Lytechinus pictus: one gene and its partners. The protein of the gene in region 2 binds, or shares a complex with, the protein of the main gene of each other region. Links are inferred from orthologs where the notes say so. Each region holds a gene or a part of one and is shown on either strand. Other genes may lie near its edges.

Region 1 (11,426 bases), on a different chromosome or scaffold from region 2:
CCCTATATCCACATTTTATACACTATATCTATAAAATTTGAAAGTTATGACAGCAATCTAATAATTACCTCTAAAATGGCCAAAGTTCAATGACCTTACATGACCTTTGACCTTGATCATGTGACGCGAAACTTGTACAGGATGTTCAGTGATACTTGATTACTCTTATGTCCAAGTTTCATGAATCAGATCCATAAACTTTCAAAGTTATGATGGTAATTCAACAGATACCCCCATTATGGCCAAAGTTCATTGACCTTTGACCTTGGTCATGTGACCTGAAATGCGCACAGGATGTTCAGTGATACTTGATTACTCTTATGTCCAAGTTTTATGAACTAGACCAATAAACTTTCAAAGTTATGATGGTAATTCAACAAATACCCCCAACTTGGCCAAAGTTCATTGACCTTAAATGACCTTTGACCTTAATCATGTGACCTGAAACTTGCACAGGATGTTCAGCGATACTTGATTACTCTTATGTCCAAGTTTCATGAATCAGATCCATAAACTTTCAAAGTTATGATGGTAATTCAACAGATACCCCCAATTTGGCCAAAGTTCATTGACCCTAAATGACCTTTGACCTTGGTCATGTGACGTGAAACTCAAGCAGGATGTTCAGTGATACTTGATTAACCTTTGTCCAAGTTTCATGAACTAGGTCCATATATTTTCAAAGTTATGATGACATTTCAAAAACTTAACCATAGCTTAAGATTTGGTGTTGACGTCGCCGCCGCCGTCGCCTATAGTCTCACTCTGCCATGCAGGTGAGACAAAAATTGGATATAAAAAATCGGCGTAGATCTAGTTACAGTGCGTGATCGTTCAGAACATATTTCAAGATTTTTTCTTGAGGTGCTGGCTATTTAGAGGTCGCATTAATCAGAAAGAAAGACGCGGTATTATCTCTGACGATGTTTACGAGGATATATATCTTCTCTTCAACCTCGTGGTGATAGCAGACGCCGCCGTGAAATTTTAAAGGTCGTATTACTGACGGAGCTCATTGCGCTACTCTCTTACACGTTCATGATGATAGACATCTTCTCTTCAACCGCGTGGTGATAGCGGACGCCGCCGTGAACTTTTAAAGGTCGCATTACTGACGGAGATCACTGCGCTTCTCTCTTACATCGTTCATGATGATAGACATCTTCTCTTCAACCTCGTGGTGATAGCGGACGCCGCCGTGAACTTTTAAAGATCGTACTACTGACGGAGCTCATTGCGTTACTCTCTTACATCGTTTATAATGATATACATCTTCTCTTCAACCTCGTGGTGATAGCGGACGCCACCGTGAACTTTCACAGGTCGTATTACTGATGGACATCACTGCGCTACTCTCTTACCTCCTTTATGATGATAGACATCTTCTATTCATCCTCAATTACTTCGTCGGGAGATGCTTCTTTTATATTTCTTCTTGGATATCAAAAGTTAATTTCTCAAGATAGTAATAAATTGATTTGAAAACGCTAGCTCCCCAAAACATTTTAACAACATGTTCCGAATCATCGCGCGTGCTTGCGAATTCTTCTACATTTTAATTGCACTTGCGACTTTAAGATGATGCGTCGTACGAGATCAAGAGATCATTTCAAATAATTTTAAATCGCTAGCACCTAAAAAATATACTTATAAAAGATGTCCCGCCGATCGTTCATTAACCTGTGATCTATGATAATTATTTTCATTTTATTTTCCTTTGCAACTTTGCTGGGAAGATGCGTCTTTCGTTTAACTTTCGAATAAAAATCACTTGGTTTATTTATAGCAGTAACACCTCAAAACCCCTTTAAAACATGTTCCAAACGATCGCGCATGTTGGCGACTTCCATTCCAATGCATTCGTCTTTGTGACTTTGTCAGGAATATGCGCGCGACCGCAAATAAAATTTTGATGTTTTCCTTTGTTTTTAGACATCGCCGATTCGATTTTCGAAGCTTAACTGCCAATCCGATTTTTGATCTGATGTTTTATCCGATTTACAACATTATCAGAAATTATTAAATAAATCCTCAGAAACGACGGTTATTCCTGTCTATTAAATGTCCGTATTACCAGGGCTCGACACTAGCACTTGTCCGACGGTCCCAGACTGGTAAAAATCGCTGTCGGGCCTGTAGATTTTCAGAAATAGCCAGATTTACTGGTCCGACATGACCAGTAAAAAACTCATTGTCGGGCCAGTAATTTTTCAAAAAAAAGCAAGATTTATGGCTCCGACATGACCAGGAATAAAAACCATTGTTTAGCCAGTAACTTTTCCAGAAATGGTCATATTCACTGGTCCAACATTAACATAAAAAATATTCCATGACTCAAATTGCAAACCATTTTCCTCCCGTTAATTTCTGTCATTCACACACAATATACACACAGAATGAATTGCATGCAATTTTTACAAGGGGACTAGTATCTAGTATTATACAGTTTAGTGCACATGTACAGCCAGCCACACAGCCCACATGGTAAATTTTCTACTGGGCTGCACGAATGAAGCTTGGCTAACGTCTGGCAGAAATCTCTCACAGAACTGTCAAAATTCACATTCACACTAATGAAAAGCTCTTATAATGTCCATATTTCCTAAAAATTGGGGTAACTCTGTCATTTGTAAGCAGTAAAAGGAGAAATTTTCACTTCTGTTTTAGTTCAAACAGATCGGGTTTCGAGTGATATCGTCTGAATACATGATAGCCCCACATATGCATTTGTGTGTGTGTTGATACACTCGGTTTCTTCCGTCATAGGCATAGCTATATTTTAATTGAGCAAAAAAGAAAGTGATAATTTATTTATGATAGTTTTAGCTTTCTTCCTCAGTTTTCTTACTATCTTTCTTTCCTCCTTTCTTTTCAATCTCTCTTCGTTTCTTCCCTCTATTCTTTCATTTTTTTATTAATGTCTTTCTTTTTTAATTTTCCTTTTTTCTTTGTCTTTTGTTCTTTCATTCTTTCTGTCCTTTAAAAAAATATTTTTCTCTTTCTTTCTTTTTGATTTCTTTCTTTCTTTAATTCTTGAGTCCATCCATCCTATATTTATATCTTCTTTCTTTCTTTCCTTCCTTCTTTTTACCCTTTCTTTCCTTCATTCTTTTTTACTCTCTTTCTTCCATCCATCCTTTCTTTACCCTTTCTTGTTCTTTATATCTTCCTTCTTTAAGCCCTTTCTCTCTCTTTCATTCATTCCATCCTTTGTCTTTTGTTCTTTCTTTCTTTTTTCCATCTTTCCTTTTACCTTTTCTTTCTTTTTTACTGCTTGCTTCCTTTCTTCTTTCCTTCATTCCTTCCTTTCTTTGTCTTTTGGTCTTTTTTTCTTCCTTTCATCTATTTTTTACCTTTTTTATATTGCTTGTTTGCTTCCTTTTTTCCTTCATTCTTTTTTCCTATCTCTCATTTTACCTTTACTTTATTTCTTCCTTAATTTCTTTCTTCCTTCTTTCAATCCTTCGTTTATTTTTCCTTCCTTCCTCTCATTTTACCCTTTCTTTTTGTATTGCTTCTTTCCTTCATTACTTTCTGTCTTTTATTCTTTCTTTCTTTATTGCTTGCTTCATTTCTTTCCTTTCTTCCTTTTTTCTTTCGTTCTTTCTTTATTTTTGCTCTTTCTTTCCTTCCTTTACTGTCTTTAGTTCTTTCCTTTCTTCACATCTATCCTTTCGCTTTCTTTACCTTTTCTTTTTTTCTTCCTTTCTTTTAATTATTCTCTCTTTCTTTGCTTGTTTGTTTCTGTTCTGTCTTTCATTCCTTCATTTTTTTTTTTGGGGGGGGGAGTAACAGGAAAGGGCAGCAAAATAAACTTGCACCTTTTCTTAATTAATGTTTTAATTTTTTGGGACCAGTAAATAATGGAAAAACTGGGTATCTACTGCCCTGGTCCGACATGAATAGGTTGGACCAGTAGAAAAAAAGGGTTAGTGTGGAGCAATGGATTACACGGACGAGTCCTGGGATCCGGCCCGCCGTACGGTATACGGTAGGTACCTACGTACCTGTACTAGCTGTACGGTAGGCCGTGGCGCGGGCGCGATAGCGTGGCCGTTGCGTTGGCCGATTTGAGCAAAACTTGAGGGCCTTGGCGCAGGCCAGAATACTTGGCCATGGTTTGTAACTTTGCATAATCAATTAGTAAAAATAACTAATATACATACTTCCGATCTCTGTCCTTTCTTTCTCCACTCTGTATTGTCGGCGGCATTTCGATTTAATGAGCAATAAAAGGGAAGAAAACCGACAGTAGATTTTGGGTTGGTGCAAACAAAAAAACATAGCACATGAAAATTGAACGATACACTGATTGTGCGATGTCCTCGAGTAAGCAAAAAAAAAAGCATTAATTACTCCCTCCTTGACAAATTACACATTTTCTTGTGTTTTGCAAACAAAATTAAACATCCTGACGAGACTGTTAAAAGATAATAATCAAGGAACAGATCAGATCAAAATAATATGAAATTCAGGGAAGAAAAAATTCTAATTAAGAAAATACAGGTATAATACAAAATCATTCCGTAAACAGTGGCGTAACAGGCGGGGGGGCCGCGGGGGCAAGCTGCCCCCCCTGGCGGATTTCACCGGGAAAAGAAAAGAAAAACGGGAAAAAGAAAAAAAGGAGGGAGAAAGAAAGAAAGGAAAAGGGGAAGGAAAGGGGAAAAGGAAAGGAGGAAAGGGAAAGGGAAAAGTGAAAAGAAAACGAAGAAAATCAGAAAAAGCAGGAAAATGTACGAAAGAAAATCAAAGAAGAACATTTGAGAAAGAACAAATCATTCCGAAATAGGCCTATGTAATGCAATAGCACGGTGGGCAATGAATTAAAAGATGACAAAATGGCAAACAATAGCGGGAAATGAAGGTAATGTTATTAGTCAAAAGCTAATGGAAAACAAAGAAAAGGGACAAGAAAAAAAATAATAACATGACCGGGCTGCCGATGATTGAAATTAAAGAGCGCATAGGCGGATCCAGGGGGGGGGGGGCCGAGGGGCCCGCCCCCCCCCCCCCCCCCTATTGGCGGAGCAAAAAAGAAGAAAAGGACAGAAAGAAAAAAGGGAGGGAAAAGAGAGGAGAAAAAAGAAGAGGAGGAAGACGAGTTAATAAAATAAGATGAGGGAAAGACTTGAAAAATAAAAAGAATCTTTCATGTCACTATATAAAATTTTCGCTCGCGCTTCGCGCTCGCATTGCCTGTTAGGTGATTTTCATATCTTGTTCAATATGGAGTTCAAATATCAAGTTTGGAATTCAATATACACAACATATTTCACCTCGGAAATCGAACTTTCATTATTTTGTGTGATTTACAAATTGATTTTTAAAATGTGCATTGTAAAAATTTCAGTTTTATGGTCTGAATATTAACATTATCTGCTCGCGCTGCACACTCGCAAATTTTGATTTATCAGGTACCTATTATTTTCGTGTATTCCGGCCAGTTTTCAAAATATCCCTTTTCAGGTCTGATTGTCAAAACGTATCAGCTAGCGCTGCGCTCGCATTTTGATTGGAGAGTTATGTATATGTCTCAATATTTGATTATACAACAAACTACTTAAAATCCCCATTTAATGACAGTTTATCAAAAAAAATGGCTCGCGATTTGCGCTCGCATTAATGGTTAAAAATACATTAACTGATGCATCCTATTTATGATTACAAAAGTGCTTGAAATGTCGAGTTTTCAGGCCATAATATCATCAAATTTCGTGCCCTCATTAGGCATTAATGAGTAAGATATTAATTTAGAAATTAAATTGTCCCTTTTATCTCGCGCTTAGCAAGAGGAATATGAAGATAGTCATCATTTTCATATGATGACATGTCCTAAGGATGTCCCGATCCTATATGTCAAAACTCAAAGTAATAATAATGGAACATATTAGATCTATATTAAGTGCGATCTATATCCACCTCACAATTTTCTTACAAAGTGCTTGAAAAATAGAGCAAAAATTGACTTTTTTTCAGTCGGAATATCAAATAGTTTAATATATTTAAATCATTATCCAGTTTCAGATCACGATATCAAAAATTTTCTGCTCGCGCTTTGTGCTCGCATTATCAAGGTAGGAAAATCCCTTATTACTCATTCTTTTCATGATTTACAAAACATGAATAGAAGGAGAATGTCCTGTTTTTAGGTCTAAATCTCGATTTTTCCGCTCGCGCTTCGCTCTCGCATGAATTGTTTAGTTATATAGCTATCCTGTTCACGATTACAAAAATTAAAATTTTCCATTCTTTATTTATTTATTTATTAACAATATTTCAACAGGATACCCAACCAACATAAAAATTGCTCTCCCTTGGGGTTCTGCATATTAAAAAAACAATCACAATATATCTTGTTATACACAGTAAAATTAACATGAGAAAATGTACATACATTATGATAGAACATAATAGTTGAAGTCAAATATAAACGAAACTATAAATAACTATTAACTACGCACATCATTAGAAAGAAGGGTCTGTACATAGATCATAATAGTCGAAATTGACATCGGAGATATCTACTATTGGAAAAAAGCTGCAACTGGATTTAAAGGTTATCTTTTAAATATTTCTTAAAAATTGAGAGGGAATTTATGTTTTGAGATTCAGGTTGAAGACTATTCCATAATGAGACGGCTTGATAATGAAATGAGTGTTTGAATGATTCAATATGACATTTGGGGAAGTGTAACTTATTTTGTGAGGAACTTCTTGTACAGTGTGAGTGAATTTCTTTTCTAAAAGTAAATAGTTTGGACAGACATGTGGGAGCAATACTTTTCATACATTTGAACATTAAAATAAATCTGAAAATACGAACTCTATCTTCAAATCTTTTCCAATCTAAGAGGGCAAATAAATTTTCCGAAGGGGTCAAGAAATGGGCATTTAAAATAATCCTTGCAGCTCTTTTCTGTAATTTATTTAATCTTTCGGTATCTTCTTTGAATTTATCCCCACAGACAATACAACAATAATCTAGAATTGGCAAAATCATAGCATTATATAGAGTGGGTAAAGTATTTTCATTGACACAACCTTTTAACCTTCGTAGGATACCCAACTTCCTGCTAACGTTATTGGCTACTTTAGATACATGTTCTTTCCATGATAATTCATTATCAATAAGTATACCTAAACATTCAAAGGATTGGACTTGTATGATCTGGTGACCATTACAAATTATTTTTAACTGAGATTCATTGGAATAAATAGAGTTTGCAAGTCGAACACGTGTACCAATAATCATACATTTTTTTTTTCATAATTCATCATCATACGGTTATCTTCTAACCAGCAGGCTATATTTTCTAAATCCAATTGTAATTTATTTTGTATTTCAGCTAAACTATCACCTTCGGCATAAATAGATGTATCGTCTGCGTACATAACTATTTTGGAGTGTTTCAATACATTAGGCATATCATTTATAAATATATTATTATATATTATGTAGAAATGTCAAAATGTTTCAGCTCGCGCTTCGCGCTCGCACTATTTGATTGTTGAAATATGTAACGTCTTCATGGCTAAGTGCAAGCAGTCCATAACAGGTACCTTTTCGATCACTTTAAAATGTATACATATAAAAACTTTCTGCTCGCACTTTGCGCTTGCATTATTAATGTAAGGAAGATCCCCAATTACTCATCCTTTTCATGATTTACAAAACATGAATAGATCGAGTGTCTCGTTCAGTAGGTCTCGGAATTTTCCGCTCGCGCTTCGCGCTCGCATCAATTGTTTAGTTATATACCTATTCTGTTTAAGTTACAAAAGTGCAAAGAATTTCCATTCTGTAGGTAAAAATGTCCAAAAAATTTCAGCTCGCGCTTCGCGCTCGCATTATTTGATTTTTAAAGTATTTAACATCTTCATGGCTAATTGCAGCAGTCTTTAACAGGTACCTTTTCCATCAGTTCATTTCTGCTCGCGCTTCGCGTTCGTAGTATTTATTTGATTGCATATACATCTTTTCCAGGATAACAAACATTGCCCAGAATGTTCAAATTTTAGGAAAAATACATTAAATTTCCCCAAAAAAATAGCTCGCGCTTCGCGCTCGGATATTATATACAGTATGTTGATTTATATGAATAAAACTAAGAAGTGTCTATTAGGACTACCCCCTTCAAAGAAACCAAAAATCATCTTCGAGCGGCCGATCAGGGAAAATATGGCCGGAAAAAAAATCTGGGCCCCCCCTATTGGCGAAGGCTTGATCCGCCCCTGAAAGAGCGGGAAGAAAGATGGACTGCATACAACATTGTGCTATAAGCTTGCTAAATTTTATGCAAATAAGCTACCGGGGCTCTGTCCCAGACCCCACGCAGTAGGGGCTCTTCATTTATAACCTTCAAATGGCTCTATAACGCCCCCCCCCCCGTTCAATCACGTTCAATCACTGGCATACAGGCGGGGGGTCTTGGTTCCACACCCTAGTGGAAATAAAAGAAATTATATAACGTATAATTAAATGAATAGAACAATGAAATGTGTTATTTGTTGAATATAATGGAAAAATCTATCACATAATTAGAATTTAATTTCAGTAGGCATTTTTTTTCCAGCTCGCTTTGCACGCTGGCGACTTTTTACAAATTTTCCCACATTGCTATGTTTTACCCCCTCAAAATATTTGGTTCATTACGCAACTGGGTTGAGTAAATGTGTTGTGTAAAAGCTATATTCTGTATATGCCCGCGATTTGATTAAACTAGCGGCAATCTGCGAGGTTTAAATGGCTTTGATATCAAGAAGTTCCGGGGGCTCCGCCCCGGATCGACCCCAACCGCACAGCACTGCATGCGTATGGAAGGGTTGGGCCATGGCCCCAAGAAGTTCTTCAAACAAGAACCAAAAATAATGGAGGAAAGAAAAGCAAAGGAAAAGTGTAGGATATGATTTTATTTACTGAATATAATGTCAAAAAAATAGCTCAAAGTTAGATTTTCATAAAAAGGTGATTTTCACACAGTGGCGTACAGACCACAAAAAAGGAATCCAAAGAGAGAAGAGTGAAATATATTATTCTCTGGATATCATGTCAAAATCTATCACTAAATTTGATTTTTGTATTAAAAAGGTCAAAATTTTTGCTCGCTCGCTCGCAACTTTTTTTTAAAAGATAAATTCTGCCCGATACGGAATATCTCATTATCTGGCCGTCTCAAAATAGTCGCCTCATTCGGGGCCTCATTACACCATTACGCCTGTTCCCCGGCCACCGACCCCTGTTACGCCGCTGTGGCCTTTTAGCAAAAGCTTATATCAAAAGGGCCCCTTGAAGCAAAAAACAAAAACAAAGAAAAACAAGTACATAGAATTGATTAAAATAAATACATTATACATATTTAAAATACGAAAAGCATACAATTTTGGAATTCGGGTAATTGAAACACAGTTTGACATATCAGCCGGACACAATATATGATTTTAGCTCTTTGTCATCTCAAGTTCTTTTGCAATTGAATGTCATGTAAGTTTCCTCAAAGTATCAGTTTTCAGATTAGAATATCACAAATTTTCTGCTCGCGCTTCGTGCTAAATCCTTTTTAATGATATTGTAAAAAGTAAATAAAAATGTTCCATTTATTTAGGTCTATATTACATGTAGACCTATAACAATACCATCCCGTTTTGGGTTCGCAATAATTGTTTTTACCCGTATAAAAATCTGTCAAAAAGGAAGAAAGACATAAACATGATAAAGAAAAGAATGTCTCTCCCAAAAAGGAGGATAATTGTCATGAAGTGTAATTCTTATCATGTTTCAATTAGAAAATTTGCTTACATGGTTTAAGTTGTAAAAGTAGCCTCTGTGCGTAGGGCATATGTACAGTTGTTGTTGAAATAATTTAAACAACGCTGTTAACCCTGATAGCAGAAACTGGTAAAAATGACGTCATAATTACGTCAGTTTAACGACGAATGTCACGTCATTTTGACGTCGTAACATGACGTCTTATTGACGGGATCTTGCACCCGCGAATAACGTCATTATGACGTCGTATATTGACGTCATTATGACGTCTCCAAGAGTGACTACGACGTCTTAATGACGTCTTAGCAACGTTTTTACAACGTTTTCCTGACCAGTATCAAGGGTCAGATTGACGTCGTGTATTGACGTGATTATGACGTCTTCGAGAGTCAACAACGACGTCTTAATGACAACTTTGCGACGTGTTCCTGACCGGTTTTAGACGTCATATTTATGTAATTATGACGTCTTTAAAAGTCATCTACGACGTCTTAATGACAACTTTGCGACGTATTCCTGACCAGTTTCAGACGTCATATTGATGTAATTAGGACGTCTTTATAAGTCAACTACGACGTCTGAATGACGACTTTGCAACATATTGCTGACTAGTAATAGACGTCATATTGATGTCGCATATTGAAATGAATATGACGTCTTTTGGAGTCAACTATGATATCTTAACGTATTCTGACGTGATAATGACCTAAACATTAAATTCTGCATGCAATGTACATGTACATACACACATCACTTCAAAGACCTTGTCATTGAGGATTATCTATATTTGGTGAATACTGAGGTGGTCTGACAATGTCCAGCATTCCCAGTAACAATATAATGATCCTCCATGCCAGGGCCTTGCATAACTTGTCTCGGTCTCAAGAACATGACCCCCCCCCCCCCCCCGAAAAAGAATATATACAAAAATGGAAAACAAAATCAAATACATGTACGCATTTCAATTACGAAATCGTGGCAAATATTCTATTAATAAATAAAAGTTGCATAACATATTACCGGCAAAAAAAAAAGGAATACAAAATGTTGAAAACTCTAAATAGATTGAAAAAAAAAACACTTTTCTATGAAAATGCAGTATTAGGGTCAAAGGAATGAAATTACAATGTTTGTTATACCAATACATACAATTGTACATGTATAAATACACATTAATACATAACAGAGGCATAATGATCTCCAAGAATAAAGCTTTTTCGTTGAAATTGTAATTAAATATACCTTCAACTTTAGACAACTATGTAATGTAGGTAAAAATATACTGTATGTAAAAAAAAAATACCCGAGTTGGAATAGTTTCAGGATTTATGGAAGCTCGCATTTGGGTGAAAGAATCATACATGTACATTAATTCTTATGAAATGTTTGGGTTGTATTACACTATCACTTAGGGCCAGGGGTAAAAGACAGTAGTTGCAGCAAACAATTATTTCTTCGGAAAGTCTTTTAAATTAAGGTTAATTGTCAAAATATTGTACATAATCTAGATCTGGGCCCTGTCTTACAAAGAGTTACGATTGATCCGATCAATCATAACTCTATGGAAATCCATCAGTGTCATAATTTTTTCTACGAAAAATTTGCACAATGTCCTTTGTATGCAAAGAGAAACGCAGCGAATTTTTGAGAAAACAAT
Region 2 (11,283 bases):
GTAAAAATACAATTAGGATTTATTTTTAAACGCAACGATTAACTTTTAAATCTCATAAGATTAAAATGAAAAAAAAAAACTGAGTGGTACCCAGGGAGAAATTGTACTCTAACGAAGAAATCTGATTTCTTTCTAAGAAAGGAGCTTCGCAAATTGCACATTGTCAATTTAGAAACAAAAAAGGTTGCCCTTTCATTGTTTAGGTATGTTCTATATAATTAATATAAATTTAGACTCAAATAAAGATATCAATTCAAATCATTTAAATTCTTTATGTGTTTTGGTTTATGATAAAATAACTCGTAATGTGCAGTTTTAGTGAATGTTAATTATGATTTAACAAATATTGTCACAAGTGTACAATTTTTTTCATTGGTTATTGCCTGTTCTTTATAATCGATTATAATGGGAATTTTTTTAAATGGCTCTATTTATTTGCGAACAGTGATAATAATACAATCCAAAATCCGGTACGGTAGAAGTCTGCAGAATTTTATCTGTCACAAGTTCTGTTTATTTTGCATATACACATGCAGTCATAGTGATAATTTCTCGCATTTTTTTTTTCAAATTCACGAAGGCGTGACATGTCTTGACAAAGTTTGTATTGTATTAATCCAGCTGCTGCAGTATAGGCCTACATATTACACTATGTTTGAACATTGCTACGGCGTATACAGATGGGACGGGGTTTGGAGGCCATGTCCACGAACCCCAAACATTTTACGGTCAAGAATAAACGGAGAAGAAAGGAGAGAAAAGGAAAAGGGGTGGAATGTATTATTTCCTGGGTATTATACTGGTATTTTAAAACATATCACAAAATAAGATTTTTGTATTAGAGAGGTAAAAAAATTGCTCACTCGCTTCGCTCACTAGCAGCGAGCTGTTTAGAAGCCTCCATACGCCAAGTCTCGCCCCTCATTTATTTTTAGGAAAGGAGCTTAGCAAGTTGGCTCCTTGAATTTCAACGATTTAAAATAAATCCAAAACGGCTGTGAAACAGTGACTATCAGACTATTCAAATTTGGAAACGATTATGGGCGATTCCACAACTTCAAAATATCATAAATTTCAACATGCTTTCAATAAGTCATAAGTAGTGTAATATTTTACTATGATACCTAAATTTTATGAAAAATGTGAGTTTTAGCCAAAAGTGAAGTCAGATTAAAAAAAATTGAGGGGGGGGGCAATGGAATTTTCAATTTTCAATATTTTTACTGATTAAATAGTCAAGAACAAACACTGCCTGAAACCATTATTGGCAGAGCACAAGAAGATTGAAAATATTGCAGGTCAAAGGAATAATGTATCATTGATGGTTCCAACTAATATCTACAACATTTTCGTGATCCTTTAAAGGTGCAGCCCCGATTTTCCGAACCTACTTTGGCAATGTCCCGTACGACTCATGAAAATGCAAAAGTTGTTTCTACTCTTTTGTTTTTGATGATACAATCTTACGATATCAGTTTCTCTATCTTTGACCCATGGGTGATTGATTTATCCTATATAAGGATCTAATTGCTGCCCTTCATTCTATTTGTCCTCATACGACACATAATTCTATTGCATTTCATTGCAGGATTTGGATTCAGAAACTATAAACAGTAGACCTATTTGAATTTAAGTAATTAGTATGACATTAGGTTAAGTGAATAGGTTTTTTTTTTTTTATCTCAAGAGAACATGAAATTCTGTAAATCTGCAGGCGTAATAATCATGTAATATATCGTAGTTGTCTTTAAAATGTCCCCCGTCCCGGGTATATGTCCTACCTTGCTTTGAAAAAAAACCCGGTACTTCCAAGTCATACCGACCCAGAGCATCTTCATTACGACGATGGTTGCATAGGTGGCGAAAAGACGGAATATTTCATTTTCGAATGAATACAAAGGCGATGTCATTATTTCAGAAATCAGAATTAATTAAACGATCAAGGAGTAAAAGACGGCACAGTTGGTATACATGTAAAAATTAAAATTTGATTTTTGTCTCACCTGCATAGCAGAGTGAGACTATAGGCGCCGCTTTTCCGACGGCGACGGCGGCGGCGGCGACGGCGGCGGCGGCGTCAACACCAAATCTTAACCTGAGGTTAAGTTTTTGAAATGACAGCATAACTTAGAAAGTATATGGACCTAGTTCATGAAACTTGGCCATAAGGTTAATCAAGTATTACTGAACATCCTGCCTGAGTTTCATGTCACATGACCAAGGTCAAAGGTCATTTAGGGTCAATGAACTTAGACCATGTTGGGGGAATCAACACCAAATCTTAACCTAAGGTTAAGTTTTTGAAATGACAGCATAACTTAGAAAGTATATGGACCTAGTTCATGAAACTTATACATAAGGTTAATCAAGTATCACTGAACATCCTGCATGAGTTTCACATCACATGACCAAGGTCAAAGGTCATTTAGGGTCAATGAACTTTGGCCGAATTGGGGGTATCTGTTGAATTACCATCATAACTTTGAAAGTTTATGGATCTGATTCATGAAACTTGGACATAATAGTAATCAAGTATTACTAAACATCCTGTGCAAGTTTCAGGTCACATGATCAAGGTCAAAGGTCATTTAGGGTCAATGAACTTTGGCCAAATTGGGGTATTTGTTGAATTACAGCCATAAATTTGAAAGTGTGTTGGTCTAGTTCATAAAACTTGGACATAATAGTAATCAAGTATCACTGAACATCCTGTGCGAGTTTCAGGTCACATGATCAAGGTCAAAGGTCATGTAAGGTCAAAGAACTTTGGCCACGTTGGGGGTATTTGTTGAATTGCCATCATATCTCTATAAGTGTATTGGTCTAGTTCATAAAACGTGGAAATAAGAGTAACCAAGTATCACTGAACATCTTGTGCGAGTTATAGTAGTTTTCAAAATCAGCACTGCTGCTATATTGAATCGCGTGATGCAGGTGAGACGGCCAGAGGCATTCCACTTGTTGTATTATTAGAGAGGTAAAAAATTGGTCGCTGGCTTCGCTCACTCGCTGCTGTTTAGAAAGCCTCCATACGCCTAGTCTTGCCCCTCAAACTTTTGGCTCCTTTGAATTTCAATGATATAAAATAAGTCCAGAACGGCTGATTTCAGATTTTGTTGGATTGCATGATTTCAGATTTTGTTGGATTGCACCTGCACATGTTCAGTGGGGTACCGGTCTCCAGATACTCTCTGGCATGTCGGAAGTGGGTGGGTTAATTTGTGCCCGTTTCTATTTCTATTACTGCTCTTGTATTGTACATATGTTTATTATCATCATGTTTGATTCTTGTTACCTTTGTATTTTTTTCTTATGCCTATTATTGCCATTGTTGTAAGTTGTTATATTTCTTCTATGCCCCCAGGAGGGGCCGTCAAAGAAATAAAATCATTGTCATTGTCATTGTCATTGTCATTGTCATTGTCATTGGCTGTGAAGCAATGACCATTTTGGCAATTGCGACATAAATTCTGTATTAATGTAATACATCTGATTGTAATATGGACCACCTGTCGGTGATTTCTGATTCGCGTTATAGACGAAGTTCTTTGTCTGTATTTAACCGTCCAAATACCCAAAGGGGGTAGATTTTTTGTAATATATAATAAATAGTAGTTGTTTATTCTAGTTATTTACATAAATTTGTACTCGAGTACAAAATGAGTTCGATTTGTTAATATAAATTTGTACTCAAATAAAGAACCAATTCCACTAATTTACATTTTAAGTCTGTTTTTTTTTGTTAACCGTAATGAAAAAGAACTCGGTTTTTTTCGTGAATGTTGATAATATGATATTGTCATAAGTGTACAATTTATTTCCTTGGTAATTCCCTCCTCTTTATAATCGATTATGATGGGGAAATTATTTCCACGTCTCTAGTTTATATACTGATACAATCCAAATTCGGGTTACGTGATAAAATTGTTATCCGCAGACTTTATATATTTTCTAAATTCAAAGTAATAAAGTTGAGACTGATTGCAATTGCTATCAGGAAGGCATCATCATCATCTTCATCACCATTACGATGAGGATGATGATGATGAGCAATATTTTTTTTTACCTCTTTAATGAAGAGAAGACCTAATTGTCTGATTTCTTTGCATAACATCAGTATTCAGAAATTAATACATTTCACCCCTTTCCTTCTTTTCTTTTCCTTGTCTCCATATTTTCTTGGCCGTGAAAATTTGGGGTCAATGGCCCCAAGACCCCCCCCCCCCATCTGTATACGCCGTATCAATTGCAAAATAAAAGTTAGTAGTAGGTTTACTGCTAGATCTCTCACTTTCCCACACTTTTATCATATTACCGGATTTTGCATATAGAAACATTATTTTTAATAATTTCTTCCTCATAATCGATTGTGAAGAGGTTGCGATTGAAACAGGGACGTCACGTCCCTGATTTAAACAATGTGAAAATGTACACTTATTTCATTTCATTTCGTTTATTTCCATTTTCAACAATTAAAGTTTGTTTTGTATATTTTTACATATAAATAACAAAAACATATTTCAAGTATCCCTGTACAAAAATTATATTCAAGATTATTGGAAATGGAGGTGGCTGCTAAAAGGCGGAGCTTGTAGAGTGCAGCCTCCTAATAAATATTCTTGTAGTTACATAGCATATAAAATATTCTTACATTAATATTCGTTATAAATAATAATGAACATTCGATAAAACTACAATCAACCTTTTTTAACTATAAAAAAAAATGGATGTAAATATTTCGAATTTATTTTATATTTGACTACAAATTTAATAAATATTTTATTAGACAATAATAAGAAGCTACTTTCAATAATATGTATACGGACGGGCAATAGACCGACGGACGCCGAAAGTCTCTTTTGGAGGACCAATGTCAGATGTTCTAAACTGAGCAAATGAAAAATTACAAGTTCATCATATTCGTTTGAAATTTCATTGTTGTTATTATCAAATGGCAATTGCAAGCTAAGTCATTATATTCACATTCTATGCGTTTTGCTGAGTGCCGCTTTAGTCATAGATTTTTAATCATTTTTTTTTCAATTGATCTTTTGCAACTTGATGAGCTCCGTCCGTTAAAAGACAAGATTTCCCCCATTGTATTACATTTTTCTTCTTATCTCCTCCTGACCTCGGCATATATGGTGTGAATTATATTTTCGAGTGACAAATTTTCCGATGACATAGTTTTATAAGTGTATCCCGACACATCCACCTGCTTTCTTGGTTGTTACACCTTGTTCGATCAATGTACATATTGCATTTACATTCATTGTTTTATTACTGTTGATTTGTATATATCATATCTGAAATTGGATTGTAAATCGGAAGACAATAAATGTTTGATGGAATTTTTAGGCACGTTGCGTGATGCCTCGTTCTAAAGCTACAGTTTGTTTCCAAAATAATCGATTATGACATTGGATTCCAAAGGTAGGCCTACCCCTTGAATTGAATGAAATTGAATTATTATGTTGTGCTCAGAAGGGGGCAAGTCTGATAATTTGTATCCCGGAATTTGGGTACAAAATTCATGGAGAGATGTCCCCATATCATCACTCATTATCATTATCATCACCACCACCACTGCATACACACTGGCATCATTAATTCTCTCCAGGCCCAGCATCACCATCATCATCACCACCACCACCATCATGCCACCATCTCCAATTCTTCATTATCATCGTCATTAGGTAGGGCCTGTTGGCACCCGCCTGCATCTAGTCTGCAGGTACAGACCCTGATTGAAACTTTGATCAGCAAATGTGTCTCCACGCAAAGACTAGCACCACATACAAAACTTGCTGTTTCAATCCTGAGAGGCCAGTACACAAGGCATGTGTAGGCTGCATATTCAGACCCTTAACTCGAGTGAATGGTTTGCACAGCATGGAGCTGCTTTAAATAATATCGGTCGAATTCAAAGTTTGCGAGTTTGTGCATGGCTGGGCGACACACTTGGAGTTTTGGGCGATTTGTTTTACGTGCCTGAATTTATTGTGACGAGGTACGTTTGAGGAAAGAAAGGTTGGGGAGGCTGAGACGGCGACATGGCTGACGTTTTAAGTTTACTTCGTGTTTATCACTCTCAGAATAAGGTTATAACGGAAAGAAACGATGATGTTATTTTCGGAGAATTTTCATGGCCCAAAGACACAAAAACTAACTACGTTACCTATGGGTAAGTTAACGGCTTTTCCTCCTTTCTGCTCTGCAAATTGGAACAACACGGTTGGTAACACAGCGCGCTGCAGTGTGAAACAACTGCCCTTAATTGCCTTGCCCTTGCATATGATTATGAATGCATATGCCACATGATTTTTATTTTTTAAATTAAAAGTAATGCATGTTTGTACGGCATTATCGTGGTTTATGTCACCAGTCCATTCACTGCCGTTTATTTCGTCAGCGGTGGTGACATCTTTCCACTCCTAATCCTATTGACTTTGTACACAACGAGCGCACATGCACATAGCCAGGCGGCTTCTAGAGTAGGTACGCTACTCTAGCGCGAGAGGGCGCGATTTTCGCGTCATCATTTTCGCGTACGAAAATGGCGACAAGCTGCTTCGGGAGCGGGTGCGAGCAATAACTGCAAGCCCTATTTGAGTCTCCTGTCTAGGATGGTAAACGTATATCAATGGGAATGAAAACGATGACATCATCTTCCCAATGCATTCAGCTATACTGCACGGTTAGCTCTTGCGACGGAGGATCGAGATCGGAACAAAAATTGCACTAAAACAGTCTGTAAGTACAGTTTATGCATCAAATCATCATTATATGTTATTTTCATGGAATTATCAGACATATTACGCTAAAAATACATATGCTACTCGAAAATTGAAGTCGTAAGCTTTCATTTCTTACCTCATTCATGGCAGCATTTCTTGCCACCATTTGCCACGGCCGAACGTTAAACGCCCTTGCTATTTGTTTCGTGGGATTTTTTTTTAAGTTTGGCGACGCGTTTCGCGGGCTAATTCATGGCGGCTGCTAGGGTTTTTGGTTGCCCGCGGTGTGTAGTCCTGCGCATTGGAATTTGTGTAGCAGACCGTCTATCGTGATATGTCTGGTATTTCTTTGATTAAAAAAAACTTTTTCTTTTTTATAAATTAGGAATTGAAAACCAGACACAAATGTAGAAATCAGAAATATATCCCACACTGACACACATTCATTTTGATTGAATAAAATATTGAAAAAAAATGGCAAATGACGCAACAACTTTCTGAATCTTCTCGAAGTACCTAACGTTAATTTTAGCCTTTACTTTAGGTAATTTACTTTAAGTTTAGTCTTGATTTATTATTTGATGATTATGTTCTGTTGAAAATTCATGTAACATGATTTCTTTTGGCCTAATCAAACTTTACATTTTTATTATTTAAAAAATGAATGGCCTAGATCTAATTTAATTCATTATCATTTTAATTTTCTTTTGTTTTCATATTTTATTTTCATTCAGATTAATTTCTTATCTCCATTTGAGCATGGCAATACTTACTGATCTGAAGTCGAGGGGCCCAACAATGAACAGACTTGGGCTGAGCCGTCGAATATCTGTGGTTCCAAGAAAGCGTGATGGAAATGCCGCCTTAAAAAAACCAACCCCACCTCTGCCTCTGGGCTTTGTTCTTGGCGATCCTGCATTCCATTCAGACTGCAACTTTAAGCAGGAATTGTTCTACCAACTACTTAATTATTCACAAATGTGAATTGCAGCTTTTAAATTGACAAGAAAGAAACAATTGATTTATCTCACCCCCCCCCCCCCAACTGTCTTCTAACATTTTCTATCATCCCAAACTAACACTTTTTTTTTCTTGTATGTCTGTTTAAATATTTTTATTTAGACTTTATGTAATTTTTTCATGATTTATTTAAGAAGTATGAGCAAAAAAAACAAAACAATTTGGCACATGCAGTAGAGAAGAGAAGGAACATAGTGTTAAAAAAGGATACACATACAGATCTGAATATTAAAATAAATTTAAAAAAGAAATGACAAATCCACACTGACACATGAAAGTATTCATTTTATTTTTTTCCTTATTGGCATTGGTTACATTAATTAACTCCACATAAAAATATAAATTGAATATGTTAACAGTATTAATGAAGTTGCTCAATAAAATTTAAAATTAGGTATTCTCATTGGAGGTAATGGTTGATACAGATGGGTGGGTGGACCTGCAGCCACTAGCGTACCTATGGGGGGGGGGGCAGACTGCCCCCCCCCCCCGACGAGTCACAACCAATGTAAGGGACATATCCCTGCCCCCCCCTGATGAGCCACCGGTGGCCCCCTCCTTTGAAGTTTAAGACCTTTTTTTTGCTTGTAATTTTTTTTCTGGTACGAAATCCTTTATTTGTGGTTGAAGACTTTTTTGCTTGTCAAATTTTTGGGCGGACGATTTTGCCCCCCCCCCCCTGTGGAAAATCCTAGGTACGCTACTGCCTGCAGCTCTATTGTTTTATTAGATTTTCATTTTTTTATTGCTGGGGGGGGGGGGGTATTATGTAGAGATGAAGCCAAATGATCTTATGAGGCAAGATTCAATGTACAGCTCAATATGATGCATGTAAAGTGATTTATTAAACTTTTGAAATATCAATTAAGAACTGGAATGATGAATGATATGAATATAAGAAATATATTAAATGCATGTACAGTGATTTATTAAACTTTTGAAATATCAATTAAGAACTGGAATGATGAATGTAATGAATATAAGAAATCTATTATATGCTAGTTCATCACAACTTTAGCTGGATCTTGCTGCAGAAAGTGCATCGTGTAGTTCTACAAATATCTCGGGTGAGAGGCAGTTTGGCAGAGCGGATGCAATGCTTCATAGGGCCTCTAACATTTCTGTGGTAAGGTCGAATCCAAACTGATGTTTTCATCGAATGATACAGCCTCCTGGCTACAAAAATTTCCTGTAGATGAAAGAGAAAACAAAATAATGAATGCAATGAAATTGGGGAAAAATGTGAGGCTAGAGGAGCAAAAACAAAAGCAAATGGTTGTAAAGTTAGTACAGGAGAGGAACAAAATGAGAAGAAAGGAACTCACAGAAAAGGAAACAAAACAGAGAGACAAACTTGAGACTAGCTCCTTTAAAAAAAGTTCTGTATGGTGTACTATGGATCTGTAAAAATATTTTAAAATTATGTAAAGTTTCAAGGATTGAGCATGCATAGGAAATCACGTAAAGGCAAGGATATCAAGTCACGAATAAAAACAAAAAATGAGGGGGGGGGATGGGAATTGCATCAACCCCCCCCCCCCCACCCTACCTCTCCAAAAAAAAAAAACGACTTTAATAACTTGTCAAAACTGTATCTAGTATCAGCTTATGTTATTATCCTTTTTAATGTTATTGTTAGGGATCGAGAGAAAGGATGAACGCGGGGGGGAGGGGGGTGTGCATTTTTCGGTTTCATACTTTCAAGCATCAGTGTACTGAAGGGGAAAATGTAACATAGGACTACACAAAATTGCGGTGGACAGACAAGAAACAAGAAATGATGATTAAAATGAAAGAAAAAATTCTCGATCTCAAAACAACTTGAAAAAAGAAAGATGCAAAACCAAATGTTATCAACTCACTTACATATTATATTTGAAATCCATCCCAATGGTCTTCCATGTCGTAATTGTGCACTGTAATTCAGATAATCTAGTTAAAACATGTGAAATTAACTTCAAGTCTCAAATTAATTGTCTTGCAAAACAACAAAATACTCCGATATATGCGTATCATGAACGTACATGCATATTTATGAGCGCCGCGAAAATGACCAATCTCATTCACAAATGATGCGCACTTACGCTTCGTCACCATGCCGCGAGAAGCGTTTATGCGCGATGTAAAATCTCCGCCCCGAATTGGCAATCCCCGAATGCGCATGCGCGGTGGTGATTGATACTCGATGGTCGACAATTCGTTCGGAATGGATAATACTTAGAAATCATTTTTTTAAAAAATCATAACTTGAGTTATTCTTCATCATATGTCATAATCAATGCATCATCGTAATGGGTGACACATTTTCTTTATGTTGAGGTAAGTTTCAACAGATTTGGATGAAGATTTGAATTATCAGTGGCGTACCTATTCTAGAGAGTAAAAATCAATGATTTACTAACGTAAGGTCACTCTCATACGAAGCCAGGGCTTCCGTCATATACTTTTGCGTGTACCACCAAAAAACCTGAAACTTTCGCCCCCGAGATTTCTACTTTCTTTCTAAAAGATCTAGCCCTAAATCATGTACGCCTACATGGGATAAAACTTCATTTCCGACATTTCTACGCTCTCGTTATTTTTTAACAAGAATTCATCAAAAAAATGAGAGAAATATTGTGTAAAGACGGAAGAGACTTGCCCGATGTTTACGCTGCCATCTTGTTTTCTATTGTTCTTCCCCAACGTTACCCGACGCACACGTCTGTAACGTTGGCGAAGAACAATACTAAATAGGAAACAAGATGGCGGCGTAAACATCGGGCAAGTCTCTTCCGTCTTTACACAATATTTCTCTCATTTTTTTGATGAATTCTTGTTCAAAAATAACAACGAGAGCATAGAAATGTTGGAAATGAAGTTTTATCCCATGTACATGATTAGGGCTAGATCTTTTAGAAACAAAGTAGAAATCTCGGGGGCGAAAGTTTCAGGTTTTTTGGTGGTACACGCAAAAGTATATGACGGAAGCCCTGGCTTCGTATGAGAGTGACCTTACGTTAGTAAATGATTTTTACTCTCTAGAAGCCGCCTGGCTACATGCACACCGACACACTCGAGAAGAGAGGTGACAAATTTCACGATAAGGCCGTTTGTACTTATTTTGCAGTTTATGTTCTTCTCTATTTGACAAGAGGATGTTTTTTTTTTAATTATTCCATGTATATCATGCAAATTAGCGCATAATTAAAATTGGGTATGATGGGGTGTCAAAACTTCGCGCACTTTTCAAAAATATTCATCAGGCTTAACTGTTAAATTTTTTCACAAAATATTCATAATTCATACAAAACCAATTTAAAAAATAGTTATCACATTGACGGCAAGATCGTAAACTATAAAATCATGAACGAAAATGTAAAGTAGGTCAAGGGGATTCGCCGGTATATCTCAAAATTCTATTCCGATTGGCGAATGCGCGCTGTGCTGGAAAACCGTTCAGAAAAAGTGTGACCTAACTTCGCGGACCAAAGTTTTTGTGGACATTTAAACAAAAACTCAAGCTCAAAAAGTGAAATATTTATAT
Region 3 (11,218 bases), on a different chromosome or scaffold from region 2:
TTTTTTTAAGATTTGAAATTTGGATTAATATCTCTTAGCATAATATAATTCACACTATTTCACATGTATACATGAACATAGTACAATTATGATAAAATACATTTTCCTCTTCTCAATATGAATATCATTTTCCTCTTAACAAATATCATTTTCACATTTACTTTGAAATTGCATGATAATTGTATGAAAATCACAAAGCAAAACATTGTCTTAAACAGCTCAACACAGTAATCCTAAATGCAGACTGTGGAAATCCCACTGCTGCCACCAAAACATTAAAGGGGAATGTAACCTTTGGAACAAGTAGGCTAATGTCGAAAAAGGAAAATCAAAGAATAAGAACAAAGAAAGTTTGAGAAAAATCAGACAAATAACGAGAAAGTTATGAGCATTTGAATATTGCAATCACTAATGTTATGGAGATCCTCCCATTGGCAATGCGACAAGGATGTGTAATGTCACATGTGAACAACTTTCCCTCAGATGGACTATAAAATACCCCAAAAATGTCTCTTTTTGCTTGTTCTTATGGTGATACAAACTCTTTATCCATAATGTATTCTTTATAAATCTGTATTACATGCCCTCCTATAGAAAGAACACTTCTACTGATAGATGTGATATAAGAGGCAGTTTAAGTGAAATATATACTAAAGTAATGGGGAGAGTTGTTCACAAGTGACATCACACATCTTTGTCGCATTGCCAATGTGAGGATCACCATAGCATTAGTGATCGCAATATTCAAATGCTCTTATTTTCTCAAACTTTGGTTGATCTGTTTCTTTGATTTTTCTGTTTTCACACAAGCTATCTTGATCCAAAGGTTTCATTCTCCTTTAATGAATGCATGAAAATTGCTTCTAAAGCATTGTTCAGGCAAGGCACTGTATTGCCATGACATAGCAACAACTTTTTAGAGTTCAAGGGTGTCAGACAAGATGTTTGTCTTGATATAAACAAGCAGAGACGAAGCAATCAAGTCATAATTACGAGTGTTCTCTAAAAGTAAAAAAAAAAAAATCACTTTCAGGTTCTGAGACAAACATGCCACAACTAATAGAGTCGAGACCTTTGCTTTGACTTTGTTGGTACCTCCATAACTAATATACCCAATAATTTTCAATAAAAATGAAAGAACACTTCCCCAGGAAAGTAACTAAAATTACCAGATATACATGTAGTTACCCCCTTTGCAAGTACCTCAAAACGATAAAACTACAAGAAAATCCATGCCTCTTTTTTTTTGAGGGGGGGTGGGGAGCAAAATTGCAAAAGTAAAATGCAAGGAGAGAATAATAATGAAAATAAAAATGCACTCAAATTTTAAGGTGTGATTTCATGGCTTGCTCTTATTTAGAAAAAATATAGATCTACTTATTACAACAAAATCTGAATTGGTGAGAGTTCCTATTGTGACAGCAACCCAAATTGAAAAAAATATATTATATTATCAAGTTAAGTTAATTTGCTTTATAAAAAAGACAGAATATTAATTACCTGAAGTGTCTCTGAATCATCAACAAGTAGAAAGCCCTTAGCATGGTTAGGATCAACAAGATCAATCTCATCTTCAGCAGCTTCCATGTCAGCAAGCTCATTCACTGGTGCTGGTGGTGGTGGTGATGGAGTCTTCTTTTGGCTCTCCACTTGTTTCTCTCTGGGTGATGACGGTACAGCCTTCACACTCCCGACAGGTTTCACAATCGCTTCCATCCTCTTCCGGCCTCCAGAACTCTCCAAACTGTGCGACAATGGTTGGCCCTGAGTAGGGGTCCACTCCCCGGAGCCAGAATTGGACCTGAAGAACTCGGAATGCCTTGGGCTTGGAGACAAAGTCTGGTCCAGATATGGTTGGTTGCTTTGAATGTCCTCTGTTTTGGGGTGAGTGCCTTGGGGATTCCCTGTTGATGTCACAACTCTCTCCCCATGATCACCATGCACCGCTCCTGCACCATGTTTGTTTACATTCCTACCACTTCCGGGTTTGCCGTGAGCCCGTGTTGTTCTGTGAGTCACTGTCATGCCACCACCTGCACTTCTGTTTACATTGCTCTCTGGAGCCTTGGGTATGGCTATTGCATTCGATTGTGCAATAGAGGGTTTCTCCACGCTCTCAAAGTGTCCCGAGAGAAATTCCAATGATTTAAGTCCACTCTGGCCACTGCTTACACTTTCCAAAGACAAAAAATCATCTCTTTCTATATCGTTGTCATCTGGAGTAGATAGCGAAGGTTTCTTATCCAGCATTGTCAAACTGTGGAAATCCGAGTCCAACGTTAACTCATCAATAAGGTTTAATCCTGTCGAAGAAGATGAAATATCCCCGGTTAAGATTGTAGTTTGCCTCTCCTTGATTTCACATGGCGTTGGCTCACTTAAAGAATCGAGAAATGGAGAAAGAGGCAGACAGTTTTCTGGCGAAGATTTTGATGGATTCATCTCGCTCGTCGGGCTTTGTTGCGTCGTATCACTGTAAACCACCTCTTTGTTCTGTTTTTGTTTTGTACGTAGCGGAGTGCGTCGATGTCCAGTTAACTTCCCTCGATGATATTCCTTATTACAGTCTTGGCAAATTACAGTTCTACACTCCAAGCAGGAAAATTCTGCAGGGTTATATGGGCACAGGGCACATTCAACAGCGCAAGGAAGTTGCTCAATTTTTCGTCTAATGTGACTTGCAAATTTTGGTCTCTCTGGTTTGTGCAGAAGTTGCTCACAATGTTCGCACTGTCTTGTTCCGCAATTCAAGCATTCGTAGCTAGCATTCGATCCGTCGCAATCAAATTTCTCCTCACAAACCCGTTTAGATTTGTATTTTACAGGTTGATGGGTTTTAGATCGACTTGCCATCTCGAACTCTCAGGCTGCAAACGAGAATGGTATACATGTTTCGTGTGAAAATGAATCATAACACAACACATGCAATGAATATGTTAATCACACAATGCAAAGCCAAAGGTTACAATGGAGCTACAATGCACACTAAATGTCGTCGCGATCGCCTGCGCCAGGCCAGCTGATTTGCGTGCATGTCGATCGATCCCGCGCCAGCGAGCAATCGTGTGTGCGAATTCAAGGCAAGAGCTAGCTAGCTATATAGCCTATATAGGAACTTGATAATGGCTATAGTGATTGCAAATTAAACTGGGCCTAGACCGGGGGCCTAGATGCCTATCACTACACAGTAAAATTTTTCTTAAAAATTGTCTGCAACACTGGTTAATATATTAATTTTAAAGCAGTTGTTTTACAGTGTAAACAAGTGTTTGCAATCTTTTAAACAGATCATTTTTATGTTTATTTTTAACTGTTAGACAGCTGATTAAAAAACATATAGTAGGCCTAATCAGCGTACGTTGTAAACTTCTATAAAAATTGAAATAGCGTTTTTACTGCATGTGTTTAGACCTATTTGTGAGGGTTATGAGGTTATTATGCATATTTCATCATGAAGGTATTTAAAAAATGTAGGGGCCTACAGTGTACATTTATTACGAACTCAATCTTTAGTTTTTGTGTGTAAATTTTTAGTTAAAGGCCAAGTCCACTCCAAAAAAAATGTTGATTTGAATCAATAAAAAAAATCAGACAAGCATAATGCTGAAAATTTCATCAAAATCGGATATAAAATAAGAAAGTTATGACATTTCAAAGTTTCGCTTATTTTTCACAAAATAGTTTATATATGCACAATAAGTTTAGTCACATGTAAATGAGAGTTGATGATGTCCCCCCCCCCCCCCCAGGGGCGGAAAACTCTCCCAAAAGGTAGGGGGGACAAGGAGCTGGAAAATTTGACAAGCAAAAAAAAAAAAAGATTACCATCCCAAAAGTAAGGTCATATAGTCCTAAGATACATGTTTTATTTCGATTTTGAATGATGTATTTCTTACCATCATAAAAGACCACAAAATAATAGTAGGGGGACATTTGATATTGTGTCCCCACTACTATTTTGAGTAGGGGGGACACGTCCCCCCTGTGATTTCCGCCCATGTCCCCCCTCTCACTATTTTTTTGGTTTTTATTGTTTGAATTATACAACATTTCAATTTTTACAGATTTGACAAGGACCAACTTGACTTAACCATAAAATGTTTATCAATGGTAATTCAACATGTTCAGGGAGCAATAAAACATCAGTTCCCTCATTTGCATACCGACCGGGAAGTGCATATAATAGTTTTGCGAAATTAAGCGAAACTTTGAATTGTCATAACTTTCTTATTTCAAATCCGACTTTGATGAAATTTTCAGTGTTATGCTTGTTGGATTTTTCTCTTTTTATTCAAATCAATCTTTTGTTGGAATGGACTTGTCCTTTAATGACACTAGAAAGTTTAGAAAGTTTTATAGAGGCTTGCCTTTTATACAAGCTTTAATTTGCCTTTTCCGGTAAGCCCACCGTTTTACTCTAAAATACAAAATCATCTGAGTTTGCTTAATTTTTTTTAATTTAGTTTATCAAAGCATAATTTTTTTTTATTTTTTACTTGTCATGTTTATTGATTTTGTACAACATTCCGATGAAACAGATATGAAACTAAATAAAAACTCCAAAAAAGTTGTTTAAACATTTAGACAAGTACAAATTCTTAAACAACAAAGTTTAAATTCAAATATTTAATTATCAATAATTTAAGCAAGGTTGTTTGAAATTTTAAACACTTGTTTAAACTGTTTAAACAACTACTGTGCGATTCACATATTTGTTTAAATTATGATTTCGGAAAGTCAGCCAATGCAGACAGAGGGAGTTTTGCACCCATCCACTGTAAGTGGGGCACAGTTCCAATGAACATAATTAAGTTGTGCAGGGGTACGTGCAGCCAGATCGAAAGCTCAATTTTGCACCACCAGATCCGGGGGGGGGGGGGGCACTTACATTGACGAATTCAATTCAATTCTTTATTCCATTTCCATTCAAAACATAATACAAAGTAATATAAAGTAATACAAATGAAATACAATTTTACAGACGAGTATTCTTACTTCGTAAAAAAAAAAAAAACAGTATAATATTGAGCATAAATGGAAATGAGGGGGGTCCACTAAAAAGCAAAGCTTGTAAAGTGTGGATCCCCACGGAAATGAAGAAAATATAATCGACTTATTCATTTATGCGTTTATATACAGGAAAGAAAAAAGAGAAGGAACAAATAGGTCGAAATCATATTGATCTAAACATAATTACAGAACAAGTGCAAAGCTATTCACACAAAGAGGTCTTCGCTGCGAAGTGAAGTGTCTCGTGGGGTAGTTATGATAAAATTAATTTTTTGTGAACATATGGCATCAAAAATATGGGGAAGTGCATGAATAGATACCATGCGCGACTATAAAACACGTAAAAGGGGTGTCTTTTTCAAGATAGGGCACGTTACAAAGTTACGTAACGTAATAAGGGTGGCAAAAACACAAAAATAATTTTAAAAAAAACTGTTATATAAAGGATTTACTTTTTTCCCCAACCGCTACACTAGGCTAACGTTGTGTGTTTAGAGTACGATTGCGCGGTGTGTGGCGGTGTGTGGGAGGTGGGGTCATAAACCCAATGATGTAGGTAAAGGTAAAACCGACGTCATAATAATCAAAATATCGTTGTACTTGTTTGGGGGTTCAATTCAGGAAATACTTGCCAAGATATCGTTTTGTTTCCAATACTTGTTAAGGGTAGGGATTTACACGCCAAATTAAGGCCTGGTGCATTTTCAAAATAAGGCTTTTATTTCGAGACCCGGACATGGTGGCGCATGGTATCCATGCACTCGTCAATGGAAGCTAGTGCCCCCCCCCCCCCGGCACCAGATTGATATCCTGTTAGGCTAGGCCAGGTATAAACTTACAGGCCTTTTGAAAGCAGTTTATTTTAATTCATGCTATATGGACGGAGTGCCGCAGCAGGGATCGAGCCTGTATGAGCTGTGTTGCGTTGAGCCTTTTGTCGCTTTGCTGGCCGCAAGAGCCTATATCAATGAGTCGTGTTTCTTATGTACCAAAATTAATGTAAAGGTCACTATATTTTGCAAAGGGAATCTATTTTTCTTCGGTCGCTAAATGGCTCGTTTGTTAATTCAATGATAATCAAATCAGTGTCTTGTGCAGTCAAGTTCTTCCGGGCTTTATAATAGAAATAATTTATTTCATTTTTTTCCGCCCCCACCCCCTCCCCCAGCCGTTGTTGTAATCAAGTAGGCCCTATAGCCTTCTTTTGGTTTCTCATCACCACGGCATCGATTTCCTTATAGGCTTTATCTTCCATGTTAATAGACAACAAAAAAATCGGATATCAATGAGTGCATGATGGGGAAATAAAACTATGGCCTATATATATATATACTTCCAATTATCTTGGCCATTCGTGACTATAGTAAGGAATTAGTCATTTCACGTCAAGCCTTTATTTTTGGAGAAAAACAACACTTCTTTAATTCATAACGTTGACCAAGCGCGATTGCGTGTAATAAAAGACCTTCAGCCTTATGCTATATAGGAAAAAGTATTAATTTGCATTCATGGTGCAAACAGCGGGAGGGGGGTGATTTCTCGCCACCGCGCGCCCCCGCCCCTATAAGAAGATCGAGGTAATCAGGAGATTCTGTGGTTCCCGCAGGAGAGAAAAAATGAGGAGCAATAACTGATGGCGCATCGGACATTTTTTTAAAATCAAGAGCGAGAGAAGCGAGCAAACCATGAGAAAATATTTTTTTATGGTGACGTATAATGGCCTGGGCGTAATCTAAAAAAGTTGAAAAAAATGTTTCGCATTTTCTCTCTTTTTTTTCTTGGTCGCGGAACCCCACCCCACACCATCTAAAGATCTACGCCAGTGCTTTGGAATCACCCCCCCCCCCCCATTCTCAGTCAGCCGGAGTAATTATGCCAAATGTTCAGAATCACGATTTGCTTATATGAAAGTACCATACAATATTTGTCATTTATTTTCGTGTGCTTGTTTCGTGCGTGTGCACATTGGTTAGTAATGGTACCGTTTTAAAACTTATCAGCTAAAATCGCAACGATACGCGGCCATGTACGTCTAGCTAGCCTACATGATGTACGTACGTATTGCACGCGTGTGCGTGCGTTTAGCAAAAAAGTAAAACAAGAAAAAAAGGGAACTCATCTCAGTCGTGGTCTCTCTCTACAAAATGCCCTAAAAAGCAAGAACTTCATCGATTTGAGTCCCGATTCTACCCATTAAAGTGAAAGACCCAAGCGCCATGTCGAAACGTAAGAAACCAAGCAGAGCAGTGATAAATTCAGACAGTTCTGCATCGGAAAATGAATCGGATCTGGAAGAGGTAATTTCTCCATTCACTTTACACACAGACAGACATGACACTGACACAGATAGATAGTTGCACATTTATTTGCACTGCATGCAGTGCAGTATGCAGTGAGTGTGTGTTTCTGAGAATATTAAGTTTAGCTGAGACTGAGTAAGTGAGTGTTTGAATTTTGATGTCACTAAATTTCAGGAATATAGGAATGGAACTGCAAGAAAATTTGCTGACGGGTTGCTTCTGGCATTTTCTTAGCTTGTTTTGCACAGAAAACAATCGCAAAAACTTAAGTTAAATTCGTTGAGCAAAATCAGTTTGTCATCAGGCAGACATTGAAATAATTAATGGCATGGCATGGGCCATGACCCATCCATGACCATGCACATGTTGGTCGTAAATAATATGCAGTCTTTGGATTCTCTGCCAAGAGTGAGACTGAGAGTGAGAGTGAATGTTTGCACATTAATAATATTGCTTGATTTTTTTCTTCTTTGACGTAGGTCTATGATTAAGTAGACACGACGGCAATCAATTAAGGTGGCTGGTGGGGGCATCACCATCAGCAATTTTTTCTTGCAATTTCTAAAAAAAAAAACCTTTTTGTGTTAAAACTGTAATACAAATGAACTTTATGAAGCTACCTTGTTCATTCCCATGGTGATGGGTATTATTTGTAATATTACTGTCAGATAATATAGTTGTGATATATGTCTACACATATATGTGATATTATGCAGTGATGCAATCATCAGATTGCAAGATTTTTAATTGTAACCCAGTTAATAGCTAAAAATAATGCATGATTGGTGTATTTACCTAGCCTTGAGGACTCCATGATGATATTTAAAAATATTTTTACATAGATATACTTTTCATCACGAAGCCTTGAAACCCTCCCCCATACTTGCCTATTAAAGCGGCACATGTAAACACAGATGGATTTTTCCCTATATAGATAAATAAAATCCAACAAATTTACGTGATTTCTAGCTTTAAAGGTCAAGTCCACCTCAGAAAAATGTTGATTTGAATTGATAGAGAAAAATCAGACAAGCATAATGCTGAAAATTTCATCAAAATCGGATGTAAAATAAGAAAGTCATGACATTTTAAAGTTTCGGTTATTTTTCACTAAGTAGTTGCATGCACAATTTAGTCACATGCAAATGAGAGAATCGATGATGTCACTCACTATTTCTTTTGTTTTTTATTGTTTGAATTATACAATATTTCAAATTTACAGATTTGACAATAAGGACCAACTTGACTGAACCATAAAATGTTAGACAATGGTAATTCCACATTTCCAGGGAGAAATAAAACTTTGTTCCACAGGACAATGCGGAGAAAATTAGAATATTTTGTATTTCATGTCATGAAATACAAAAGAAATAGTGAGTGAGTGACGTCATCAGTTCCCTCATTTGCATACCAACCGGTATGTGCATATAACTGTTTTGTGAAATTAAGCGAAACTTAAAAATATCATAACTTTCTTATTTTACATCCGATTTTGATGAAATTGTCAGCGTTATGCTAGTTGGATTTTTCTCTTTTTATTCTATTCATTGTTTTGTTGGGGTGGACTTGTCCTTTAATTATGGATTTCCTAGGGAAATCCATCCGTGTTTACATGTCCCGCTTAGGCAAGTATGGGGAGGGTTTCAAGGCTTCATGATGTAAAAGTGTATTTAAAAATACCATCACTGAGTCCTCAAGGCTAGTATTTTTCCAGTTTCATGACATTTGCTCTGGTGACAATTGCTCCAATTGAAAATCTACGCATTAAGCCAAACATAAAATGTAACCTCCAAAACTAAATAAACCCTATTTCTGAACTAAAAACTTCAAAATTCTGATTTGAACTTTACAGAGCTTTTCTTCCTTTCATCCCACTATTGATAAGCTTGTTTTCTTATTTTATTGCCGTTGCCAGGAACTGCTTACTTTAGCCAAAAGGAAAAAGGTGGAGCCAGAGTCGGCCAAGGAATCAACTTCGCAAAAGAGCAATTCTGAGTCTGAGACATCAGAAAGTGATGATGATGTGAGTATAGTTTCTCTTTGAATTTTAGCACTTATGTGCATAGCACTTTTTTGCAAATATTATTTCTTGATTACATTCCTTTTCTTCTTTCAATTAAGTATAGGCCTATATGTGCACTATTGATAGAAATATAGAATATGAATTGTCTCAAACACCTTTCAATATGTAGCCTTGCATTCTGGGGGCCGTTTCATAAAGCTGTTCGTAAGTTAAGAGCGACTTTAAGAACGACTGGTGATCCTTTCTTACGCGCTAAACCATCGCCGATGAATATACCATTTACCACAAGAAAGGATCACCAGTCGTCCTTAAAGTCGCTCTTAACTTATGAACAGCTTTATGAAACACCCACCAGGTATAGTTTCTGTAATATTTTTAAATTATGAAATAAAATGATGGATGGACTTTGTGCACTTCATCTGTGCTTGGCAGCCAGTGATGCTTTGACTCATCTTTTTTTCAAATTCATAAAATGAAGCACATTACATAAAAGAACAAAATGCCTGGTTGCTTGTGTATCTAGGACTAAGTAAGTGAATAATATCTAGATGTAATTAAAACATACATGAAATGATTTTCTCACATAGAAATAATGGTGAGTTATTTCACTATTGTGTTTTAATTTTAATGGATTAACATTCTTCACTAGAACATTTTTTTCATGGATAAATATATATGTAAATCTATGTCATCATCATGTTACAAGGTGAGGTAATCCTGTTGACCTCGATCTCTTCATCTGAAATTACAGTCATCCATCTCCATACGATGTGTTATTCTACAAGAGCAAAAACTTGCACACGTGGAGGGCAGAGACGGTTTTGATCATTGGAGATTGAAACGCTCAGACTACCAAAACTTATCGAGTCTTTAATAATTTGAATACATGGATGGAGCCTGAGTCAATAACTTCTTGGGGGAGGCTATTCCAGTCATTCACTACCCGGTTACTAAAAACGCATTTGCGTATCTCGAGTCTAGATCGTTCTTTGATTTTTGTTCTTTGGATAGGAATTGATCAGCTTTGATATTTTTCCTATTTTTGTATTCAGTGGACATTGGGTGGCAACAAAAAGAAATCCAGGATCAAGAAGAACCCAAAGAAGAAGGTGGCTCGGTCAGCATCTGATGGATCTGGGGTCATCAGTGACTCTGACAAGTCTTCACTTGAAGAAGGTACAGTGCATTAGGAATATTCTCACTGCCCTCCCTCCCGAGTTATGTCAAACCCTTCTTAATTACATTGTAGTCTTTCAATACCTTTAAATTGATTCCAAGGTGATGTTTCATTAAAATTTGAGTAAGATGCTTTTATGTACATTCTTAATGAATGGCGATCCAACTCATCTTGAGCGACAATAGCTCCAGTTCTGATTTTTTTTAATAGAAAGATATGGTGTTGTGTAAGTATTGCATTACATGTGTTGTTAGGGTCGAAGTTGAAATTTAGGTTAGCCTTATGAGCAGATATTTGTGTTCTGTTTGAGCCTTTATATCTTGGTGGGCATGTAAGGGGGCTTTAAATACATGTAGTATACTTTTTATGAAGCCCATAATTTGTTGACACATGAATAATAACATGGAACCTACATCATGAAGAGCAAGCATTCTTGGAGTGATTGATGCACTTAAAAAAAATGTTTTTACAAAACTCCCATCTGATATGTTCACTTCTCAGGAGAAGTGTCTGATTCCGAGAGTGACGATTCCGATTCTGGTTCTGATGATGAGAAGTTCTTTGATGGGTACGATGAGAACTTCATCGGGGATGAGGAGGATAGGGCGATGCTGGAGAAGATGACAGAGAAGGAAAGAGAACAAGTCATCTACAACAGATCAGAGAAGAGAGATGCCCTAAGGACAAGGTCAGTTTAAAGAGGAGCTT

The links.
Region 1: parafibromin-like (region 2) and RNA polymerase II-associated factor 1 homolog share a complex: the UniProt entries of both Caenorhabditis elegans proteins name them as parts of the PAF1 complex. The link is inferred for Lytechinus pictus from reciprocal best matches to the Caenorhabditis elegans genes cdc-73 and pafo-1.
Region 3: parafibromin-like (region 2) and RNA polymerase-associated protein RTF1 homolog share a complex: the UniProt entries of both Caenorhabditis elegans proteins name them as parts of the PAF1 complex. The link is inferred for Lytechinus pictus from reciprocal best matches to the Caenorhabditis elegans genes cdc-73 and rtfo-1.

The regions. Positions count from the first base shown.
Region 1 is NC_087251.1:47,769,002-47,780,427, forward strand, and holds the start of RNA polymerase II-associated factor 1 homolog, read right to left. Parts: upstream 4,336-11,426; 5' UTR 4,214-4,335; coding exon 4,167-4,213; intron 1-4,166. UniProt on the Caenorhabditis elegans protein: Component of the PAF1 complex which is a multifunctional complex involved in transcription initiation via genetic interactions with TATA-binding proteins, elongation and transcription-coupled histone modification.
Region 2 is NC_087259.1:23,516,546-23,527,828, forward strand, and holds the start of parafibromin-like, read left to right. Parts: upstream 1-5,985; 5' UTR 5,986-6,053; coding exon 6,054-6,184; intron 6,185-11,283. UniProt on the Caenorhabditis elegans protein: Component of the PAF1 complex which is a multifunctional complex involved in transcription initiation via genetic interactions with TATA-binding proteins, elongation and transcription-coupled histone modification.
Region 3 is NC_087251.1:44,619,834-44,631,051, reverse strand, and holds the start of RNA polymerase-associated protein RTF1 homolog, read left to right. Parts: upstream 1-5,979; 5' UTR 5,980-7,226; coding exon 7,227-7,307; intron 7,308-9,225; coding exon 9,226-9,333; intron 9,334-10,385; coding exon 10,386-10,509; intron 10,510-11,011; coding exon 11,012-11,198; intron 11,199-11,218. Other genes in the region: zinc finger FYVE domain-containing protein 1-like, read right to left, coding at 1,501-2,853. UniProt on the Caenorhabditis elegans protein: Component of the PAF1 complex which is a multifunctional complex involved in transcription initiation via genetic interactions with TATA-binding proteins, elongation and transcription-coupled histone modification.